2 linked regions of the Callithrix jacchus genome follow. Each later gene encodes a partner of the first gene's protein in a complex. Links are inferred from orthologs where the notes say so. Each region holds a gene or a part of one and is shown in the gene's direction. Other genes may lie near its edges.

Evidence for each region.
Region 2: the proteins of TAPBPL (region 1) and MR1 are in contact, whole or in part, in an NMR structure (PDB 7RNO), measured with the Homo sapiens proteins. The link is inferred for Callithrix jacchus from reciprocal best matches to the Homo sapiens genes TAPBPL and MR1. Residues at the interface, in NP_060479.3 of Homo sapiens: His47, Arg48, Gly49, Ala50, Ala52, Ser53, Ser54, Leu129, Met131, Thr132, Glu133, Thr135, Arg228, Gln230, Lys232, Gly233, Arg234, Gly235, Thr280, Ile282, Gln293, Ile295, Gln297, Arg307, Leu308, Ser309, Ile320, Cys321, Asp322, Leu355; in NP_001372090.1 of Homo sapiens: Arg101, Arg104, His105, Asn107, Thr129, Gly130, Phe131, Leu132, Gln133, Ile143, Phe144, Asn145, Asp147, Thr148, Leu152, Ala153, Val154, His159, Thr160, Lys162, Gln163, Ala164, Ala167, Asn168, Gln169, His170, Thr213, Phe214, Pro215, Asp248.

Annotation. Positions count from the first base shown.
Region 1 is NC_133510.1:20,075,931-20,079,709, forward strand, and holds part of TAPBPL (tapasin-related protein), read left to right. Parts: intron 1-1,808; coding exon 1,809-2,147; intron 2,148-3,050; coding exon 3,051-3,353; intron 3,354-3,779. UniProt on the Homo sapiens protein: Component of the antigen processing and presentation pathway, which binds to MHC class I coupled with beta2-microglobulin/B2M. Association between TAPBPR and MHC class I occurs in the absence of a functional peptide-loading complex (PLC).
Region 2 is NC_133519.1:39,321,633-39,325,484, forward strand, and holds the start of MR1 (major histocompatibility complex class I-related protein 1), read left to right. Parts: upstream 1-887; 5' UTR 888-980; coding exon 981-1,035; intron 1,036-3,852. UniProt on the Homo sapiens protein: Antigen-presenting molecule specialized in displaying microbial pyrimidine-based metabolites to alpha-beta T cell receptors (TCR) on innate-type mucosal-associated invariant T (MAIT) cells.

The DNA of each region.
Region 1 (3,779 bases):
GCGGGTGGATCACCTGAAGTCAGGAGCTCAGGACCAGCCTGGCCAACATGGTGAAACCCCCTCTCTACTAAAAATACAAAAATTAGCCAGGCATGGTGGCGTGCACCTGTAATCTCAGCTACATGGGAGGCTGAGGCAGGAGAATTGCTGGACCCTGGGAGGCGGAGGCTGCGGTGAGCCGAGATCTCACCATTGTACTCCAGCCTGGGTAACAACAGAGACTCCATCTCAAAAAAAAAAAAAAATTCAGAATAATAAAATCAGCTGAAAGTCAAATGGCTTTATAGTGTCACCATCTCCCAACATCAGCAATTCTGAACAGTATCAGTGATAAAATACTCCTCCCTGCCAGGGCAGACTGTCCCTATCTCTCCACACCACTGCCTAGTATGCCACTGCTCTTCATACTTGAAGATATTTTTAAATTGATACAGTAGTAGCCTCAACTATGAAGTCCAGGGCATGGTGGTGCACACCTGTAGTCCCAGCTGCTCAGGAGGCTGAGGCAGGAGGACTGCTTGAGCCCAGGAGTCTAAGTCCTGCCTGGGAACATAGGGAGACCCTGTCTCTTGTGCCTCAGTCTCCCAAGTAGCTGGGATTACAGGCACCCACCACCACATCCAGCTAATTTTTTTTTTTTAATGGAGTCTTGCTCTTTCATCAGGCTGGAGTGCAGTGGCGAGATCTTGGCTCACTGAAACCTCCACCTCCCGGGTTCAAGTGATTCTCCTGCCTCAGCCTCCCAAGTAGCTGGGACTACAGCTGCAGGCTAACACACCCAGCTAATTTTTGTATTTTTAGTGGAGATGGGGTTTCACCATGTTGACCAGGATAATCTTGATCTCTTGACCTTGTGATCTACCCACATTGGCCTCCCAAAGTGCTGGGATTACAGGCATGCATCACTGCACTTGGCATACCTGGTTAATTGTGTATTTTTAGTTGAGATGGGATTTTACCATATTGGCCAGGCTGGTCTTGAACTCCTGATCTCAAGTGATCTGCCCATCTTGGCCTCCCAAAGTGCTGGGATTACAGATGTGAGCCACTGTGCCTGGACTGAGACCCTGTCTCTTAAAAAAAAATTAATTAAATGTCTCCAAATTCAAATTTCTCCACTTGTCCCAATAATGTTTTTCACTGCTTTCTTTTTCTAAGTACACAATTGAAACAAGAATCATGCGCTGCATTTAGCTGTGCTGTTCCTTGTTTTAATCTAGAGCATTTTTCACAGAATTGACATCTTTGAAGGGTCCAGGCTAGTGGTCTTGCAGAATATCCCACCATTTAGATTTGTCTGATTGTTTTCCTCCTGACTGGATTTAGGTTAAGCATGTTTGGCACAGTCACTACTACTAAGTGCTTTTTAAAGTCTCTTTCCTAGTCTTCATGGTATCCTTGCTTAAACAGGTGAGCTTTGTAACACTAAGTGACTTGTCAAAGGTCACAGAGCCAGTAAGCAGAACAACCAGGGTTTCAGAGCTCTTTCGGCTATTCTAGTAGTTCTTACCTGAAGATTGACGGTAACTCTTAATTTTGCATGTGTATTTCCTGGTGAGAGGTCCATAGCTTTCACTAGATTATCCTAGGGGTGAGTGATCCCAAGATGATAAAGGTCGCCATGTGTACCATGCTGCCTTTCTAGAACCCCATTTCTTTGTGGTTCCATGTGATGGAAAATAAGCTCAACTGGCCTCACTGCCAGGCAAGGAGGAAGAGGCAAGGCCCATAACACGCCCACAGCTTAAAGATCATGTGACCTCAAGGAGGAAGTAGCCCACAAATCACCCCTCTTTTCCTCTTGACAGTGGAGTTCCAGGTGACGACACAGACCCAATCCCTGAGCTTCCTGCTGGGATCCTCAGCCTCCTTGGACTGTGGCTTCTCCATGGCACCAGGCTTGGACCTCATCAATGTGGAGTGGCGGCTGCAGCACAAGGGCAAGGGTCAGATGGTGTACAGCTGGACCGCAGGGCAGGGGCAGGCTGGGCGGAAGGGCGCTACCCTGAAGCCTGAACAGATGGGCATGGCTGGGGATGCCTCCCTCACATTGCCCAGCCTCACTCTACAGGATGAGGGGACCTATGTTTGTCAGATCACCACCTCTCTGCACAGAGCTCAGCAGATCATCCAGCTCAACATCCAAGGTGAGGCCAGGACACAGTTATCCCAGGGAGGGGGACAGAAAATGCCTACTGGAGTGTTTCCAGACTGGGACCCAAACGCAAGAGTGATTCCCTGAGAAGCAGGCGTCATTCCCACAATTTAAATGCCATCTTCACCCTGGAAACACAGATGGCATTAGATAAGGAGTCCCAGCTGGGCATAGTGGCTCATGCCTGTAATCCCAGCACTTTAGGAAGCTGAGGTGGGCAGATCATCTGAGGTCAGGAGTTCAAGACCAACCTGGCCAACATGGTGAAACCCACTCCCTACTAAAAATAGAAAAATTAAGCAGGCATGGTGGTGGGTGCCTGTAGTCCCAGTTAGTCAGGAGGCCGAGGCAGGAGAATCTCTTGAATCCAGGAGGCAGAGGTTGCAGTGAGCTGAGATTCTACCACTGCACTCCAGCCTGGCAACAGAGCGAGACTCCGTCTCAAAAAAAAAAAAAAAAAAAAAAAAAGAGTCCATTGGACTCCAGGATAATTCCACCAAGATTTCCAGGCCAGGATGCTGCTGCCCTGCTGTGGCCGGCTGTCTCCAACAGCTCAGTCCTTTTGGGCCACATCCTGAAGAACAGTAGCAGCAAACCAAGGCGGGGCAGTGGGAACAGTTCTAACCATCATCACTGCTATCCTTTAAAATTGCTGGCTTAGAATGGTGCCAGCCAACCTTTAGATGACTTTACTATCACTTTTCTGGAAAATGCAACCCGCAAATTATGGCCTGCATCCATGTGGGCCCCTCACATGCCTCCGCCTTGGTATACTACCAAGGGACACTTTAGCATCCACAATCTACTCTCATCTTGGCAGGAAGAAAAGGCTTCAGGTTCCTCCACTGTCCCCAGCTGGATCCCTGTGTAATCTTATTCCTCATTCTTTCTCCAGCTCCCCCCAAAGTACGACTAAGCTTGGCAAATGAAGCTCTGCTGCCCACCCTCGTCTGCAACATTGCTGGCTATTATCCTCTGGATGTGGCGGTGACGTGGACCAGAGAGGAACTGGGTGGATCCCCAGTCCAAGTCTCTGGCGCTTCCTTCTCCAGCCTCAGGCAAAGCGCAGCAGGCACCTACAGCATCTCTTCCTCTCTCACCGCAGAACCTGGGTCTGCAGGTGCCACTTACACCTGCCAGGTCACCCACATCTCTCTGAAGGAGCCCCTTGAGGCCAGAACCCAGGTTGTCCCACCAGGTACTGGGAGTGTCCTCCTTTCTCCACACTTGGGTTCATGGCTTTCTTCCCCCAGTAATCTGTGGCCTCATTCTGCTGCCCATGCACTTTGTTCAGTCCTGGCTTCAGGCTTCTGCCTCTGCTCCTGGCTTTGTCTTTTCCAAGGCGGCAGCTGCCACAGCTTCTACCATACATCCCCTGAGACTTCATTATATTCCAGCCTCCACGGTGCCAGGCAAGGTGCTTAAGGGCTGGAGATCACAGATGAATAATTCCTGATCATGCCCTCTAGGAGCTTAGTCCAGTAACAGAGACGAGACTAAGTAGACAGAGAAGATGACATTTGAGCCAAGTTAACTACCTTAAATAGAAACTAGCATATATGAAGGCCGAGTCATAAAACAGCCTAAAGAGAATTTGGAGACTGGCAAGTAATTCAGCTCAGCT
Region 2 (3,852 bases), on another chromosome or scaffold:
AGCTCTGTGAAATATCTGATAGGATTTGCTTTTAAAGTTGAAGAAATCAAGCCTTTGGGATTTGCCCACCGTCAAACAGCGGGGAGGCAAGCCCATGGTCAAATCCCAAGCAATTTGGGATTCTACCATGGTCAAGTAGTAGGGAGTCAAACCTAGGTCCCTGAACCCAGCTCAAGCCTGCCTGCCTCATGGCTCTGCCTCCATTTACGTCTCTGCTTCATGCCTACTGCCTGTTTCCTGTCTGGACCTGTTCCCCAGCTCCCTGGACAAGCTTCAGCTGCTGTTCTCCAGCTTGTCATGTGCTCCTGATGACAGTGTAGATACAGCTGGATCCTGCGGATTACTGCTTGAGCAAGCTGAGTGCTGCTCCTCAGAATCTTCTCTTAGGCCTTTCTCTTGCCTTCCTTCATTCAATAAGCATTTTGAGCTTATTGTGCTGGGTGCTAGAATAGCAGGGAAGACAGACCTAAGCTGTAGATTACAGGAAAATCTGACTGACACCTGCTATCTCAGAAGCAGAGACTACAGCATCACAGGGAGCCAGAGCAGGGAGTTCCAAGCCCTGGGAACTGTGTGACTCCTATTGACCCTTAAGCAAAAATCTAAGCTCCAGGGAACAGAGGCAGCAACTTGAGCTCCCTGGTTGACCAGATATGATTAATCATTGTTTCTCTGTGTTTTGAACATGACTGTGCTCCATAAATATTTTAAAGTTGGGAAGAGGGTGAAGACAGATACACCAAAAGAAGTAAACAGTGTCTGAAACCAGCAAAGGGTTAAAAGTTACCAAGAGAGTGCTCAGAGCTTTCGTCTTTTTTTTACCTAGCAACTGGTGTCACTGCATATTTTCCCCTGTACTTATTGGAAGAAGGCCTTGTGTGTCACTCAGTTGCTAAATCACTCAAGGGGTTCACGGAAGGGACCTGTCAGTTTTTGGTTAAAAGAACCCAGAAAGAGAAGGACTACAGGGTTCTCAACTGATGGTGTTCCTGTTACCTCTCATCGTTGTATTAATGGCGAAGCAGAGTGATGCCCGTGAGTACCCCACATTCTCTTCTCCCGTAACTCCAAAGTCGAGGCAGCCTAGAAGGAACAGCTTTTCTTCCTAAAACTTGTGGTGGAAAATATAGAAGCCAGGGGCAAAAAAGTGTATGTATTACATCAAGACTCCAGGAGCAAGGGACGACCTGAACAGTTTTCCAGTTCCTATTTGTAGGACTTTGATGTCACCCCCTTCTGAGGCAGTGGGAGCCATTCCAGAGACTAGACTCCGGAACTTCCTCACTTTCCCTCTGAGTGTGGTCCCCCTTATTTTCTGCTCATACTTTTTCTTTTACTTTTGTTTCTCCTCTTCTCTAACCTCCAGAGTCTCATGAGGACGTCGTCAGAGTTTCAGGGGCATTAACAGTGGAGCAGATCCATTGTTGAGGTTTATTTAGTTTTCTCAACACAAGCCCTACCTGTAACAAAAGATCCAGGAAAGATAAAACCATGGCTCTGGGCTTGTTTACTGGCTGTGAGAAGTGTTAATCAAGTAGAAGGGAGAGTGTTTCATTGCTTTAGGAGCTCATGTCACTGGGGAAGCAAATGCCTTCTGTTGCCTCTAATAGGTGGAAGGGCCCCTGGGCTAGAACCGCCAGGCTTCTCTGCTCTAGGCACCTGCTCTCTGGGCTGAGGACTGGTAGTGTGTCTAGAATGTAGGCTTGGCCACCACCATAGATATTACTGATGGACATGAGAGGAAGGAGCTCTTTCAAATCATCCATGCATGTAGAGAGTGGAAGGAGTGAGAATGGAGATTCAGAAGGGTGGAGGGGTGGATGATGAGAAATTACTTAATGGGTACAATGTGTGTTACTTGGATGATACTTTAAGACCCCAAATTGACCATTACGCAATCTATGCATATAACAAAATTGCAGCTTACATCATACATTTATACAAATAAAAATTTAAGAATCATCCATGTATTAATTGTTCAAATATTGATTGCTGGGCTACTATGTGCCAGGCACTTTGGGGGATATGGCAGTGAACAAATAGGCATAATCTCTGCTTCCATGAAAATTTAATCCAGAAAGTCTCATCATCTATGGGAAGGATTGGGGTGAGGGTGAGAGGCAGAAGATGAAAGAGGAACAGTGGAGGGAGGTAAAGCGTGATATTTTTAGAAGTAAAAATCTTATATATTGCCTGCATGTGATTCTCAACTCTCCAATAATATGGAATAATATTCCTTAAACATATTATCCCCTTGACAATCTCACTGACTGTGGTAGGTGAGGGAAATATCTCCATTTAAAGATGAGCCCTGGATTTTTCTCTAGGCCTAGAGAGTGACCAGGCTCACATAAGGAGCAGCCTGAAGGAGACTGGAGGTCTTCTGGCTCTCTGTCCTGGGCTGTTTCACAATGTCACTGTGCCTCTGGGTGTCAAGACTTGTCACTTTGATAATTGGGGGGATAGGAAATAAAACAAGTAAGTTACAAAGACAAGGGAAGGTCACTTGGTGCTGGCTGTTCTCCTTTTGGCTCCTCAGACTGCATCCTTCTCTGTTCTGTTTTGTGTCCTTGAGGCTGACTGCTAGACTGCATCACCTAGACTCTCTTGCAAGCTGATTTCTGCTTGGGTTCCCACAGTGGGAGACACTGAAGAGAGAGAGGTCAGAGAGCAGGGAGGAAAGAGAGGCTGGGAAATGTCTTTCTTGCACCTTCCCCTCTTTCTATAATGTCTCTGGCAGTAGCTGTGTGCTTCCGTGCGGTTTTCTTTCCTGAGTAACCCCTTCTTCATGGTTCCAGCTCCCATTGGGCTTCAGTAATACTATTTGCTATTCTTATCTCTTAAGCCCTAGGAGTGATAATGGCTTCCCATAGTTGTTAGCCTGCTGGTGCCCATCATTTTTGTGTGTTCCCTTAACATTGACCATATCTCTGCAAGGAGTCCTCATTAAGGTCTCCTCATGTGACCATCTGGGCTGAAGGCTGTTTCCTGCTAGGACCCTAACTGAACATTCCTGGGCTTTGAGGGACATTGGCAGGGAAAGGATATGAGATTATAAAAAAATACTTGGTGTACTTGATATTTATGCCTAGTACTAGCCCTGAATGGCTGCTATATAATTAATAGATGGAGAAACACAGAGAGGAGATTCTGCAGTGTTGTGGGTCATTACTCCAGGAAATGTCAACGTAACTCCAATATCACTTCCAATGTGTTGCTTTCATTGACTCCATAGCCTGCAGTTGACTCCCCCTTCCTTTGTGCTCCCATAGCTCCTGTTCTCAGTTCTATAATTTTCCATTTACAGAAATCTTCCCTTTGAGGCACTCCTTAAAGACAGAAAGAGATGTCTTCATTTTTTCTTATTTCTCTGGCACTACCTAGTGCCCAACAGGCACTAGTAAATACTTCCTGGGTGAATTTATGTTTGGAGGTAATGTCCCTAAGAAATCACAGTTATTTGACTGGGAGCCACAGAGAGCCTGGGCAGTAATAATGATTACAAATGCAAAAGTGTGGCTTACTGTAGCTGCAGGATTTGTGTTAAAAAGGTGTTTCAGGCTTTTACAACTCATCTTGTTCTTCATTTCAGCCTGTGTGAAACTGAATTGGTGATATGGGTAGGTGTCGTCAGTCTGGGGGCCAGCATGAGATTTCTCATGCATAGCCATGTGTGGTTTGTGTGTTTCATCTTGACATAATCAAGGTCAGTCTCTTGATATTACTCATACTTTTATGAGTCTGTCTCAATTTGCTATATCAATCTACTTCATGAATGGTGGAGTCCTTCACAGACGAGGCCTGATGATAGATAGGCTCCCTAAGCCTATTTTAACACCTGGGCTAGTGTTA